Linked DNA regions of Tamandua tetradactyla. The protein of the gene in region 2 binds, or shares a complex with, the protein of the main gene of each other region. Links are inferred from orthologs where the notes say so. Each region holds a gene or a part of one and is shown on either strand. Other genes may lie near its edges.

What was found.
Region 1: the proteins of GBA1 (region 2) and SCARB2 are in contact, whole or in part, in a cryo-EM structure (PDB 9FJF), measured with the Homo sapiens proteins. The link is inferred for Tamandua tetradactyla from reciprocal best matches to the Homo sapiens genes GBA1 and SCARB2. Residues at the interface, in NP_000148.2 of Homo sapiens: Leu130, Asn131, Ala134, Ile169, Glu190, Lys194, Leu195, Pro430, Arg434, Ile445, Thr446, Asp448; in NP_005497.1 of Homo sapiens: Lys161, Ala162, Tyr163, Gln164, Lys181, Glu183, Leu187, Phe191, Arg192.

The regions. Positions count from the first base shown.
Region 1 is NC_135350.1:52,880,245-52,888,123, forward strand, and holds the start of SCARB2 (lysosome membrane protein 2), read left to right. Parts: upstream 1-4,866; 5' UTR 4,867-5,207; coding exon 5,208-5,324; intron 5,325-5,823; exon of another isoform or gene 5,824-6,171; intron 6,172-7,879.
Region 2 is NC_135330.1:8,182,520-8,189,836, reverse strand, and holds the start of GBA1 (lysosomal acid glucosylceramidase), read left to right. Parts: upstream 1-4,303; 5' UTR 4,304-4,477; coding exon 4,478-4,504; intron 4,505-4,887; coding exon 4,888-4,975; intron 4,976-5,227; coding exon 5,228-5,419; intron 5,420-5,543; coding exon 5,544-5,690; intron 5,691-6,005; coding exon 6,006-6,139; intron 6,140-6,353; coding exon 6,354-6,526; intron 6,527-6,754; coding exon 6,755-6,992; intron 6,993-7,266; coding exon 7,267-7,317. UniProt on the Homo sapiens protein: Glucosylceramidase that catalyzes, within the lysosomal compartment, the hydrolysis of glucosylceramides/GlcCers (such as beta-D-glucosyl-(1<->1')-N-acylsphing-4-enine) into free ceramides (such as N-acylsphing-4-enine) and glucose.

The sequences.
Region 1 (7,879 bases), on a different chromosome or scaffold from region 2:
AAAAAAACCCAGAAAATAGTAAATGTTGGCCAGGATGCTGAGAGATGGGAACCCTGGTGGTAATGTAAAATGGTGCAGCTGCTGTGGAAAATAGTTTAGCAGTTCTTCAGAAAGTTAAACATAGAATGCCTAATGACCTGGCAATTCCACGTCTAGATATATATCCAAAAGAATTGAAAGCAGTGACTTGAATAGATATTTGTATACCAATGTCCATAGCAGCATTATTCATACTAACCAAAGGGTTGAAAAAAATCCAGTGCCCATCAATAGATGCATGGATTAAAAAATGTTATATATACATACAATGGAATTTTATTTGGCCAAAAAAAAGGAAATGAAGTGCTGATACATGCAACAACACTGGTGAACCTTGACGATATCATGTGGAGTGGATTAAGTCAGACACAAAGGACAAATATTGAATGATCTCACTTATATAAAATACTTATAACATGCAAATTCATAGAGACAGAAAGTAAATTATAGGTTTCTAGGGCTTAGGAAGGTGGGAAATGAGGAGTTATTGTTTGATGGGTACAGAGTTTCTGTTTGGGGTAATGCAAATGTTTTGGTAATGGATGGTGGTATTAGCAGCACAACATTCTGACTATAATTACTATTACTGAATGCACACATGAGAGTGGTAAAATGGGAAATTGCGTGTTGTATATGTTATCACAACTGGAGAGAACAAAAGCTGCCAGGCCTCATCAGCTTCGACCTGGAACTGGCCCAGTGTCAGTTCCATCACATTGCACTGGTCGGAGCAGGCCACAAGGGCAGCCTAGATTTAAAGGAGGGAAAATAGCCTCCACTTTCATGCGAGGGGCAGCACCAGCCTACAAAGATAGCAAGAATTGTTGGCAATGATATTTGGAGACTAACTACTGTAACGCATTATAAAAATTGTAGTATATTTTAAATGCTTACATTTAACACTAGCACATTTAGCATAAAAGTATAGGATGAGTGTATTAGTGAGCTTGTTTGAATAAAATATCATAATTCCAAATTTAAGGCGGGGATCAAATATCCCTTCATGTTGCCCCATGATAGGCCTGTCTTAGAGTCTGTGAGAGAAGTTTTTCTTTTCTTCTTTCTGAGTCCTGACTGTGCAATTTGCAGCAGGCACCAATAGTCATTCATTCCTAAGTGTCCTGGTTTTTCTCAGATGAAAAAGTGTTCTGGTTTTGAGTATGAAAAAATCCCTGATTGCCTCCTTTCAGGGCATCAGCCTTCCCAAGCCGAATGGTGGGAGTAGTCCCAGGCCCGTCTGGCCTCCAGAGTGCGTTAGTGGGTTGTTAATTTGTTTACCTGCCATGCAGTAGCCACTCCTTTCATTTAGAAGGTGGAATATCATCTGCCATGTGAGATGATTCTATGGCACAAAAAGGACCTAATAATGCCAAACAGCAGTGGAGGAGATGTGCCCCATTGATTGGAAATGAGGAGGTCCGAGTGGTTTTGGAGAGCTTGTATCAGAATGTTGGGGATTCGAGCCAGGCAGGTGGCCATGGGCTGGAGAAGACGGAAGGGAACAGAAAGACCACCACCCAGGTACGTGCCAGACCTTTGTGACAAGACATAAATTATTGTGGGGTCACAGACTGCAATTCTGGGGACATGCGTTCCTTTAAAAAAAAAAAAGCAGTTTATATTTTCTTTATTTTGGTCTCTATTGTTCTCTCAGTGTTCAGTACATTTTTAAAATTCTAGTCTGGTCAGCTGTACTAAGAGGAAGCAAGAAAGAGGTTTTTGTCCAGCTTGGACTAGAATTTTAAAGGGGAAGCAGCTTACCATGCGCCTGACACAGTGGTAATGAACAGACTAGGGTTAGCAGAGTGTGAGAACCGCAAATGAAAGGTAAACGGAGGGCATCTGAGTTGGAACCTCTTGTTAGAAACTCTCCCCACACCCAGATATGTTTCTCTAACCTGCTTCTGGTCTCTAGTCCCTAGTCGGTTATTCTACTGGTGTACCACATAAGAACGGACCTCCTCCAATGAACAATGGGAAAGGAGAGGGCACTGGGATTGGTGGTCCCAGCTTGGAGGTGGTGGGTAACTATAGAGTTTGCTTTTAAGCATGGAGCCAGCAAGCAGAAAATCTGGTCTAGCAGTGTTTCAGTTTGCATATGAACTGCTGGCTGCCACATATTTAGGCAGACAGGTTACTCAATCTTGTTCTAGTTATGGAAAGAGAGAACCCACAGATTGCAGCAGGAGCCCAACCAATTCCTGAGGAAGGGGACCAGTGAGGAAAGGGTGAGCTGGCGTGGCCTATAAGCAGACTGGTTTGTGTGGGGCAGAACTAAGGGAGAGAACTGGAATCCAAAGCAGCAATGGAGGCAAAACGGACTGTGACCACGGCAGGAGTGGTTGGGGAAAGGTTGCCCATTTGGAGCACGTAAGGACTTGGGCATCCCCGGGTGCACTGGCCACCAGGCTTGGGACAGTTGAATAATTCCTGACCCCGTCCAGATTCTATTAGTGCCCAGGCCTGGTTCTCTGGGGTTGCTGCTCAAAATCTTTGGTGGCTTCAGCTGGATAGAGTTGGGGTGGGCAACCATTGTCATTGCCAGGGCCCTACCCTCACCATTTGCTCCCATTATCTATAATTGAGCAACACACTACCCCATAACTTAGTGGCTTAAAACTTGGTATGCAATTAATACCACTGAATTATACACTTAAAAAATGAATGCAATTAATATGACTGAATTATACCCTTTAAAATGGTTAATATGAGAAATTCTGTGTTATAAATATATGTCACCACAATAAAAATGCAAACAACAGCAATCCTTTATTTTGTTCTCAAATCTGCATTTAGGGGAGGGCTCAGCAAGGACAAACCGGTCTCTGCTCCATAATGTCTGTGGCCTATGACTCACAGAGTTGGGAGCAGGAAAAGTTGCAAGTCTCCTCTTGCAGAATCAGGATAACCCCCTGCAGTGTCTGTGTTCTCTCCAGCATGCAGTCTCAGGGTAACTGAACTCAGTGGGGGCTCAGATGGCTAAGAACAAGGATTCCCCAGAGGCCTAGACAGAAGCTGCAAGGCATTTATGACCTAGCTCCAAAATTTTTAGAATATGGTCATTTCCACTGTAGTTTTTTGTTAAGTAAATCACTCCGTTCAGTCGACATTCAAGGAGAAGGCAGAGATTTCACCTCTCAGTGGGTGGGGTGCCAAAGAATTTGCCACCGTTCTTTTTTTTTAATTTTTAAAAAATATTTTTATTGAGAAATAGCCACACAGGTACAGTCCAACCACTTTGCCACCGTTCTTTATCTATCGCACCATCTTGCGGCAATGCGCGAAGAAGAAAAGACTTCTTCAGTGAAGTCTCCTGTCTCCCTCTCCCCAGATTATCACTGTGGCAGCTGGGAGGCAGCTATCCACAGAAGAGACCAGTGAAGGATTTGGGGGCCACCAGTGCTACAATGTGGTGCAGGATCCACCACTCAGCAACTGGATGAGCTTTTTAGGTTACTTCAACTCTGAGAGCCCAGGTTCCCGCCTGTGCAAAATGGGGCTAATACTGCTATACTGGCTGTGAGAATATACTTCTCAGATCTCCCAGTGCAGGGCGCATAACTGACTAATGGCTCTGCCCCAGCTGCTGAATTCTGAAATCTATCCTCCGATATTTAACCCCTTGTCTCAGAAGCCAGCTTCCAGCCCAGGACTGAACACAGCAGGGATACTAAGGCAACTTGGCCAAAGGTCTCCCCACAGCCTGACTGAACTTTCTCAGAACTGCATTGCAGTCTAAGATGCTTCCTTCCACCCAATGTTCCTTCCATGCCTTTCTCCGTCCCCAAGCTCACACCTCCTTGCCTAGTCCAGCTCCCTGTCCATTTTCCCCTCATAAGTGCTGCCCCTAATAAATCTTTTGCACAGCTACTCCTGTCTGGAGCTAATTCTTGGGGAACTGGGAAAAACACAGCCACCAACTCACAGGGCTGCTATGGACGTTACCGGAGTAGGCGGGTACAATCACCAAACCAAGGCCTGGCATATAACTGACACTCATTCATCCAACTAAGATTTATCGGATATCTATTTATGTGTAGGCTTTTAGGCTGGATGTCTGGCACATACTGGTGAGCAAAGCAGACAAAGAACACCACCAGAACTACCTGCTTTAAAGCTTTTTGACCACTCCCACTGCTGAGACATAAAGTCCCAACTCTTCAGCTGGACACACAGAATCCTTCAAAATATGAACCTTTGGAGCCTCTCCACCTTCCATCCCACACTGCACACCCGAGTTCACAAGGAAGTTCTTTCCTCCTTCAGTTTTGCTTTTTCACCCCCCAAAGCCGTTGAACATCTGTTATTTCTCCTTGAAATGCTGCCTCTTTCCCCTGCGCACATCCCTTGCCTGCCACTCTTACATATCCCAAGCCCCCAAGTTCTATTATAGGGTCCAGGTACCCAGACAGCACGTGCTTGTTAGCACAGATCTCAGCACACACCTTTTAAAAGCATTTGCTGCGCTGTGCTATAATTGCTCGTAACAGTGTACAGCAGGAGAAAAGACCTCTTCATCCTTCACTCCCCAATGCTCGGCACACGGTAGGCTCCAGCTAAGTAGCTACACAGTGGTAAGTGGATCAGCGAACTAGGGAAAGCGATTTTCCTGGGGTGACCGCGGGGCCTGCGGCGAGAAGGTCGAGAAGCGGCTTGGGTTGGGGAGGGAGCCTCGCCGTCGCGGGACTCGGGTTCGGTCGCTCTAGCACCGGCTGAATCGCGGCAGCCACCGCCGGGCACATGACCGCTGGCTCAGCCTCCCGCCCCGCCCGCTTCCCGGCGCCGAGGCCCAATCCTCCCTCCCCGGGCTGCGGCGAGCAGGGTCGGCGAGCGTCACAGCCTGCGCGCTCCCTCCTTTCCTCCCTCCCTCCCGAACTGAGCCAGGCGGGACGCCGCGGCTGTCCCTCCCCGGCCTCGCGAAGGAAACCGAAACCAAAGCCGGGTCCCTCTACGCTCCCACCCCGCCTGCGGGGTGCAGAGGGGGCCGCGCTCGCCGGGTTGCAGGGCCGAGAGCCCGCGCGTGCTGCGCGAGCCGAGCGCGGGGAGGACGCGGGCGCCGGAGCCTTCCCGGTTCTTCCGGCCGCTGGCAGCCGAGACCGCGACCGGTTCCTCCCTCTTCCCCGCTGGATCGCGGGCGGCCGCGGCCCCGTGCGTGAGCGGCGCGCAGAATGGGCAGGTGCTGCTTCTACACGGTGGGGACCCTGTCCCTGCTTCTTCTGGTGACCAGTGTCACGCTGCTCGTGGCCAGGGTCTTCGAAAAGGCCGTGGACCAGGCGATCCAGAAGGTGAGTTTGGTGGCTGTGTGTGTGTGTGTGTGTGTGTGTGTGTGTGTGTGTGTGCGCGCGCGCGTCCGGCAGGTAGGGAGGGGGAGCTCCCAGCGCGCTCTCCCAAAGCTGTACCTTTTGCGGGGAAAATCTGCACTTGGGCAAATCATCCGGACTGGTGCCTTGCTTTCTTCCTTCTCTTCTTGGGGTTGATAAATGAGAGTTAGAGACCGATGTGGACTATGTTTTCTTGATCATAAATAAGAATGTGGGTTTACGCCGCAAAAAATCTTTCGCTTTTGTTCTGTCATTTGCATCACCACCACTACCCTCTCCCCCGCCCCCCGGCAATACACCCCAATCTCTGTTGGGCCCAAACTCATTTCGCTCCCACCTCATGAAGAAAGAAAACTAAATAAAACACACTATAGAAGAGAGGTTATGTTGGCTGCTTGCCGTGGCCTCTGAAGTGGTGTGGGGCTGGGGATGGAAGCGGCTGTGTGGTCTATTGTATTCTTACTTTCCTGAGCTGGGCAGGGCAGCGGGCAGCGAGGTCAGGCCCGTTGACTGGGTGACATTTCAGTCCATCATAGTCGGTGCTTACCCTCCATGGCTGCATATCTTGTATCACGGTCTGCTGCTTTGTGCTGCTTTGTCTCGTCATTCATTCTTGTTCTTCTCAAACAGTGATAATCTTCAGGCAGAGATGCATGGAGAGTCTTAGAATCTGAATCTCTCTTCCCCCTGGATGAGTGGGCTGGAGAACTAGTCATTTCCGAAGACTTCCTCCGCTTTTGACTTCACTGGTCATTTCTTTTGCCCTTTCACCCAGGCCCAGAAAGCTGTGTGGAAAGAGGAACAGGAGAGAGTTAATGGGATCACAGTTTCCTTAAAAAAAAATTATTCAAGTGCCTTCTCTTATTAGCACCCTAACCACATGTGTCCTGTGACATCTCCCAGTTGGTCAGATTCAAAGCCCAGGCCTCGTCCAGTTGGAGTCACTGCGCTGGCCAGTTAGAACATTTGTCTTCTTCCAGGTGGTAAGGAACGTATTCCTTTAATATAAATTTTCCGAAGCAAGCAATTATTCGAAATCTGGCAGTTAAGAGAAGAAGAAGAAAAAGAAAAAAAAAAGCACCATAACAAGGCATAATTTAATTTTTAAAAAGCTCACGTTGCCAAAGGAAGATGAGCCCACTGTATGGGCTTCTCAAAGCTCAGTGCTGACCTTGAACACTGATGTTTAAAATAAAAATAAACTGAATCCTTTCTCCATTTCCGCCCACCTTCAGATCCATGGTGAGAATTTTTGAGGATATAAATTTTCGTCTTTAGGTGACTAGAGTTAAGCAGTCCTACTGTAGTCAATATATGAATTTTCTTGTGTCAATTTGAAAGCCAGTTTCCCAGTGCCTCAGGTATAGCTGGCCCTCAGGCCCTCTGAGGGTTTCTTCAGTTGTACCCAGAAACTGTGGGTCTCTATTTCTTGGTGGAGAGGGAAGTCGTTGTGAGGCAGCTTGGCTGGATAAATCTGGGCTTGCTTTGATATTTGGTGATTGACTTTTACCCCCATAAGGAATGGACGCTGTTTTGACTGATAATGTACAAGGGAAGTGGACTTTCACAATTGCCTAACTCCAGCTGAGTAACACTGTACAATGTGGTATATAAAACTAAATGACAGGGTGCACGGGTGTTTCAGTGGTAGAATGCTAGCCTTCCACGCGGGAGACCGGGGTTCGATTCCCGGACCATGTACACCCCCCTCCCCCCCCGAAAACTGAAAAACAGAAAAGCAAAAAAACCCCTAAATTATAGGACTAGTTTCATTGGACAGATTTGGGAATATTGTAAGTCAGTCAGGTCACACATTACCATTCTGTTCTTTCCTGGATGATCTGCGGGACGGTACCGTCGGGCAGTGGGAAGGAAGAAAGACTGCTCGTGAACACTTCTAAGCACAAATCCTGACTCGATCATGCTGCATGACCATGAGCTAATTATCTCAACTTTCTTGATCCTTAGTTTCCCCATCGGTGAATGTGGATCAAAATGACTAATGTACACAGAATTTTTAAGGAATAATTAGAGGAAGTGAGTGTAATTTCTCTGGGCTATAGTTAATGCTTAATAAGTGATAGTGATTTTATTTTTGCTAGAAGCCGCACAGAGAAAAAGTGCGTGACATTTGCAGTTGGACTCACATATTCAAACCCAGGCCTTTCCATTTACAAGCTTTGTGTCTTTGGGCAAGTTACCCAACTTCCCTGAGCTTCACTTTCATTATTTGTTACAGGTGACTTGTTAACTGCCTTGGGTACAGTGGAGCATTCCCCGTGAAGCTCAAGAAACTTAAGCTTCAGGGCCCTTCACTTGCCCAGGTGCTTCTTTGGGCCTTGATGCTCTTCCTAATTTCGTATTCTTTTTTTTAGAGAGGGCCTCCTCAAATTATATAAGCTTCAAGACCCGCAAAACCTGTGTCTCCCTCTCTGTGTGTGCCATTGTAGGACTAAGTGAGGTAATCCATATAAAGCACTTAGTTAATCAGGCACGGAGCAGGTGATCAATATTTGGAA
Region 2 (7,317 bases):
ATTCAACCATCATCACAATAGTAGAATATTTTCATCACCCCAAAAAGAAACCCACATACCCATTAGCAGTCACTCCTGGTTCCCTTCTCCTGCCTCCAGACCCAGGAAGCCTCTAAGCTGTATTCTGTCTCTGTGGATTTGCTTGTTCTGCACACTTCAGATGAATGGAATTACATAATATGCCGTATTTTGCACCTGGCTTCTTTTACCTTGTATAATGTCTTAGATTTCCTCCATGTTTTAGTATGTTTCAGTACTTCATTACTTTTTCTGGTCAAATGTTATTTCATGGTGTAACATCACAATTTACTTATGCATTCATCAGTTGATGGACGTTTGGATTGCTTTCACTTTTTGGTTATTATGAATTTTATTCACACACAAGTTTTTGTGTGGACATATTTTTCATCAGGGTGTAAATCTGGAAGTGGAATTGCTATCTCTATGGTGTATCTCTCTGGTGAACATTTTGAGAAACTGCTAAACTGTTTTCCAAAGTGGCTGCATCATTTCACATTCCCACCAGCACCTTACGAGGGTTCTGATTCCTCCACATCCCTGCCAACACTTGTTGTTGTCTGTCTTTTTTTGTTATATCTAGTGCATGTGAAGTGGTATCTCCTTGTGTGTGTGTTTTTTTGTAGTTTTTATTTATTTATTTATTTACTTATTTGCATGGGCAGGCACCAGGAATCGAACCTGGGTCTCCACATGGCAGGCGAGAACTCTGCCTGCTGAGCCGCCATGGCCTGCCCTCTCCTTGTGGTTTTGATTTGCATTTCCCTAATCACTAATGATGTTGAGCATCTTTGCATATGCTTATTGACCACTTGTATATCTTCTTTGGAGAAATGTCTATTTAAATCCTTTGCCCATTTATAATTGGATTTTGAGTATTAAGCTGTGAGAATTCTTTATATATTCTGGAGACTAGACAGAGAAATGATTTGCAAATATTTTTTCCCATTCTGTGGGTTGTCTTTCTATTTTCTTTTTTTATTTTTTTACATGGGCATGCACTGGGAAATGAACCCAGGTCTCCGGCATGGCAGGTGAGAACTCAGCCTGCTGAGCCACCATGGCCCACCCATCTTTATATTTTCTTGATGTCATCCTTTGAAGCACAAAAGTTGTTTTGTTTCATTTTTTTATGAAGTCCAATTTATCATTTTTTCTTTCTTCTTTTGACACTTGTGTTTCAGAATCATAAACCTTACGTAATCCAAGATCACAAATTTCTACTCCTGTTTTCTTCTAGGAGTTTTATACTTTTAGCTCTTACATTTAGGTCTATAATCCATTTTCATTTCATTTTAGTGAATAGTGTAAAGATTTAGGTTTACCTTTTTGTGTGTATATATCCAGTTGTCCCAATGCCATTTTTAAAAAACTCACCCCTTTCTCCCATTGAATTGTTACAATCAAATATTAAATTTGTGGGGACATGTGGAATGCACTGAGTTTTATTCATAAAGATCGTTTTTAGTATTTCTGTTTGTTGCATTTTTATTTTTGCAGCACAATAACTACATATTGAGAAGGTGATAAATGGTGAGGAGTACATATTGCAATTATTTATTCATTTGCAGGTATGGGTTTGTTTTTACTTCTCTTAAATTCTAATTTATCCTGTTTAAGTGAGTGCAAGATCTGACTACATTATGTCTTCTAGGTAGTCATGCCTAACCATTTATTTACTGAAAAGCATAATATATTATGAGTAACATTCTCATTATTTTCCCCCTTATATTCCAATAAAGACAATCATATTGATTCTTTTAAATTATGTGTGTAGGTAAGCTATATTACTCTGCATTTTATTTCAGGATAGTAAAAAATATGTTTAAAAATATTTGTTATGAAAAAGGGGTGGTGCTAGGCTTGTTGGGGGGCAGTGAAGTTCAAGGGCAAAAGCAGGGCTACTTGGTGGAGCTACCCCTTCCCAACTGAAAAATCAGGCTTGCCCAACCTGGGGGCTCTGGATTTTGTTTCATTACTCAAGAGGCATCCCCTGATCAATGTCTTGGTAGAACAGGGATCTAGAAATGTTACTATGTCACCAGCCCTTCAGAAGCTAACTTCTGTTGGGCAGGTAGAAAACTACAGAAAAAACCAGGGACGGTTTTCAAACAAAATAAATCAAACACTGCAGAGCAGCCTAGCATAGCATTTGGCACGCAGGAGGCTCTCAGGAAATAGCTACCATGTGCCATGGACTGTGACTGTCCATCTAGGGCTCCACCTCCGAGAAGCCAAAGGACTTGGAAAAATTTAATGACCTCTCATCTCAGGCTCCTTATCTCTAAAATGGTGAGAATAATGGTATCTGCTTTGTGAGAATGAAACGAGATGATGCACATAAAGTAGCACAGAGTTTAAGTATTCAATAAATATTAGCCTTTTTTTTTGTATGCTGTATGGTGACGGTCACATTTCGTTCTTTCCCGTTATTGCAGCACCATTTGTTGAATTTTTTTTTTTTGTAAGTGCATGGGTCAGGAATCAAACCCGGGTCTCTTGCATGGAATATTAGCTTTTATTATAACTAACTTTATTTAGAAAAGAAAATATAAAAGCCTTAAGGGCAAATCAATTGTGAGAGGAACTGAAAGATGAGACTCATCAGCCATGAAAACAATTGCAAACCGAAGGATAAAAAAGAACAAACAACACTTTCACAAACTCTGCCTGCAGAGGGAAAAGGCATAGAGTTGGGGAGGCGTCAGACCCAAAAAGAGCACAGCACAGGCAGGGTAAATGTAGCATTTGCTCAATAAATATTTGTGGAATGAATGAACTGGAAGGAAGTTACGTACTAGGCATCGCCTGAGCTCCTCCCAAGAATAATCCCTGAGCAAGATTTCCTGGAAGAACAGGAAGCCTGGATGGGGCAGATACTGACTTGGTGAACCATAGTTCAATTAAATTCATCAAATCAGTATCTACCCACCCTGTGCCAGCCCTCTGTGGGACCACCCTGTGCCAGCCTCTGCGGAACCACCCTGTGCCAGCCTCTGCGGGAGTATGAGGTTCTGCGGATGAGTAAAATGTTCCTTCAAGGCCCTCCGAGTTTCCTCCATAAATACAGATCTGACTTGTGGCAATATCTGGTGCCAAGCAGTGTACTAAATACACACATTATCATACTTAAAAAGTTAAACTTCACAACCAAGTTATGATGTAGGCGTTATCACTCCCCTTTTAGTTAAGGAACCGAGGCTTAGTGTGATGGAGTAATCTATGGAAGGTCAAACAGCCAGCAAATGGTGGGCTTGGGATTCAGACTCGGCCCCTCTTGCTGAAACCGAACTGGGGTGCTGCAGGAACCACAAGAAAGAAATGATCACTTTGCCCGGGGTGTGCCTGAAAAGGCTTCACTGAGAGGATAAAAAAAAAAAAAGACAGGAAACAAACAAGTGGTTCCCAAGTGCCTGCTAGGCCCCAGCACAGTGTTTATCTCTGTGATTCCGGGACCCTGAGGTTGTGGTATTACCTCCATTTTACAGGTGAGGAAATAGGCTCAGAGAGCTGGGGCGCGGCAGCTCGTAATTATGTATGCCACGTCCACGATCTCATGTTTGCTGTAGAGCTTCTTACATTCACTGAGAAGTGAACTTTGTACAACACTTTCTAGTTCCTGAACTATTTTACTTTACACAGCCTCCTGTCTGATGAGAAAGGCAGACGAGTTCTTACAACCTGCATGGGTTGATGAGGTGAGGTGGTGAGAGGGGTAGTGGTGAAGGCTCCCTCCCTCCCTCCGGCCACGCCACCCCACTGCCTGGATCCCATCCTCCCTACACGTGGCTGGTTAATAATCTCCTACTTGACTTTCACTTGAAGGACACCCTCCTCCGTGAAGCCTTCCTAGATAACTCCCCACCCATGAAGTGTCCCTCCGGTGTGTCGTTGAGCTCTCCATGTACATCTGTTACCATTTTTCTCTTTATTGGTCATTATCTGTATAAATGCCTGACTCACCTCATTTAGGGCCTCTCTCTATGAGGCTCAAACTACATCTTAATAGTCTCTGGAGCCTTGATATTTTACACAGTGAATCTCATTTATTATCACTGTTTAAAAATTTTTCTCAAGGAGGCAACATGCCTGCTCTGATCACCATTGTCTGGGACTCAGGGGCCTCTACCCTATCCTACACCCAGCTGTTTGAACGAGGCTCCTTCTAAAGTAACCTTCCCGAGTTCACAGAGTGTATAATGGTCACCAGCCCAGAGAAAGCCAGTCGCCCTTTACAAATATGGCTGCAATTGCCTCACTTCCGGTATCATGTGACACGCCCACAATCATCACATGACCTGCCCACTCTAGGAGGCCGGAATTAACCTGCGGGGCTAATCCCAGTGCCTACAGCTACTGGAGATAGAAGCATTCCTGTTCCTATTATTGAGTGGATCCTCTGTCTCTCCGAAGCTCTGGAACAGCTGCAGTCTTCTCCCCGTCCGGTGACCCTGAGGCGATGGAGCTTTCACGTCCTTCCAGAGAGGTGGCTGGACCGGGGATCCAAATCAGCCTCATCCTGCTGCTTCTGGAATCTTAATCTTGACCCTCTTGGCCCTGGAACTCAATGAATGATATAGACTCCCTTTGAGCTAGGAACAGATGAAAGGAGGGAGGAGTGGAGGGAGAAATGGTTGGGAAGAGGGATGCAGGAGGTTCCTGGTTGGGGTGGGCAGAGAGCTGTCACCAGCAGAAGGAGGCAGGGGTTGGAGGGAGGGCTACACCCATGTGTCTGTGGGCTTTGTCGCAACCCTCATAAAGGTGGGAGACTAGGCTGTGGGCACCTGCAGGCAGCCAAGCCCTGCCCTGGGGAATAGTTGACGGACTGAGAGAGGCTTGCCTTCTAGTCACTCCTCATTCTGGTCTCAGGAACATCCCATGCACCTGGGTAGGACAGGCGTCATGGCTGCCAGCTTCACAGGATTGCTTCTACTTCAGATGGTGTTATGGGCATCAGGTGAGTGAGTTAAAGGGGGGAGGTAGTACCACGGCTCCTTTCTGCCGTATAGTCCTTTGGTAGCTTTCTGGTCTACCAGTGGGACTTTTATAGGTGCTCAATAAATCCTTTTGAGTAACTGAGACCAACCTTGGAATGGGGGTACAGTGACAAGATTTTTGAAACCTGTATTCAGTCTCTTTTCAATCAATGAGTCAGTTCTCCCTGTCCTTGTCCTTCAACCCATGCTTCTGCTTGTGCTCCCCCTCTCAGGTGCCCGTCCCTGTATCCCTAAAAGCTTTGGCTACAGTTCAGTGGTCTGTGTCTGCAATGCCACGTACTGTGACTCTCTTGACCCCCTGACCCTCCCTGCCTCTCGCACGTTCAACCGTTATGAGAGCACACGCAGTGGGCGACGGATGGAACTGAGCGTGGGGACCATCCAGGCCAACCGCACAGGCACAGGTAACCACTGTCCCCCTCACCCCAAGTCAAGCTGGGATCCTCCTGGAGATAAATCATGCCAGTGATCACCATGGAGTTTCTCCTCTGTGCACTTACACTGTTTATTCCCTGTGGATGTCCTCAGGGCTGCTACTGACCCTGCACCCAGAACAGAAGTTCCAGAAAATAAAGGGATTTGGAGGGGCCATGACAGATGCTGCTGCTCTCAACATCCTTGCCCTGTCACCCCCTGCCCGGAATTTGCTGCTCAAATCGTACTTCTCTGAAGAAGGTGAGGAGGAGGGGAACAAGATGCCATTGTGCAATTGACACTTTTCTCTGACCTTTCCTTGTCCCTTACTTCTACCCATCCCTGAAACTTGGGTCCTCTCTTACTGTCCAACTCTACCTACTCATGTTGTGCTAAGTGCTTGGGAGCTCTTGGGGTCAGAAGGGCCTGGCTTCTGAGCTCCACAGGCCCCATCCTAGGAGCCCAAGTCCCCTTTGGCCCTGATTTAGACTTATTTAGGACAGGAAAATGATAGACCAGGTACCCATATCTTCCTATTGATTCAGACTTCCATATCTTGGTCATCCTTTTCTGCAGGAATTGAATACAACATCATCCGGGTACCCATGGCCAGCTGTGACTTCTCCATCCGTATCTATACCTATGCTGACAACCCTGGTGACTTCCAGTTGCACAACTTCAGCCTCCCAGAGGAAGATACCAAGCTCAAGGTGGGCACTCTGGCTGCCTCAAGCCCTGGTAGCATTGCCTGGAAGTTGAGGAGACTCAGGATAGAGCAGTTTGCAGAGACACCGAACCTGCCCCGTGCTGTTTTGCCCCGGGGTTGGAGGGTGAGGACTGATGGCTGGGCCTGATGCACTGGTTGGGCCAGTCTCTGTATATTCCAAACCTGGGTATCTCTCTGCTTACTACCTTTTTCCCTAGATACCCCTGATTCACCAAGCCCTGGACTTGACTCGACGTCACATCTCACTCTTTGCCAGTCCCTGGACATCGCCTTCTTGGCTCAAGACCAATGGGGCCGTGAATGGGAAAGGGACACTCAAGGGTCAGCCAGGAGATATCTACCATCAGACCTGGGCCAACTACTTTGTTAAGTAAGGAAGCAGCAAGGCTATGGGATCTGGACTCTCAGACACCCTGGTCTGTGTCCCAGTTCTCAAACTGATTGTACCTCCAGGCCTGACTCTCCTAGCTCACTGTCTACCTTCTAGTACCTTTCTACCTTGGACCCTTCAGTTTTGCCCACTTCAGCAGGCCTCCCATTCCCCAGGGTCATGGTCCCCTTTCTCAGCCACGCTCACTCACATCCTTTCCTCCGCCAGGTTCCTGGATGCCTATGCTGAGCACAAGTTACAGTTCTGGGCAGTAACAGCAGAGAATGAGCCTTCTGCAGGGCTCCTTAGTGGGTACCCCTTCCAGTGCTTGGGCTTCACCCCTGAACACCAGCGAGACTTCATTGCCCGTGACCTGGGTCCCACCCTTGCCAACAGTACTCATCGCGATGTCCACCTGTTCATGCTAGATGACCAACGCCTGCTGCTACCCCACTGGGCCAAGGTGGTAAGGCTCCAGGATTTCCACGGGTGCCCTAGTAACCCCCAAGTCCAGGGTCTAAATTACTGGCTCCCAGGACTTTGTATGCCTTCCCTGCTCCCAACTGTTGATTCCTACAGCTCTCTGGCTCTCAAGGACCTCTCCCCATTAGTTGTCTCTTTAACCCCTTTAGTTGCATTTACCCTACCATCTATTTGCCAGGTCCCCTGGTTCCTCTGCACAGAGGATCCTGGTTCAGTGGCTTCCCCTTCCCCAGCAGTCTTTCTCCTTCTCTGCACAGGTGCTTTCGGACCCAGAGGCAGCTAAGTACGTCCATGGCATCGCTGTACAT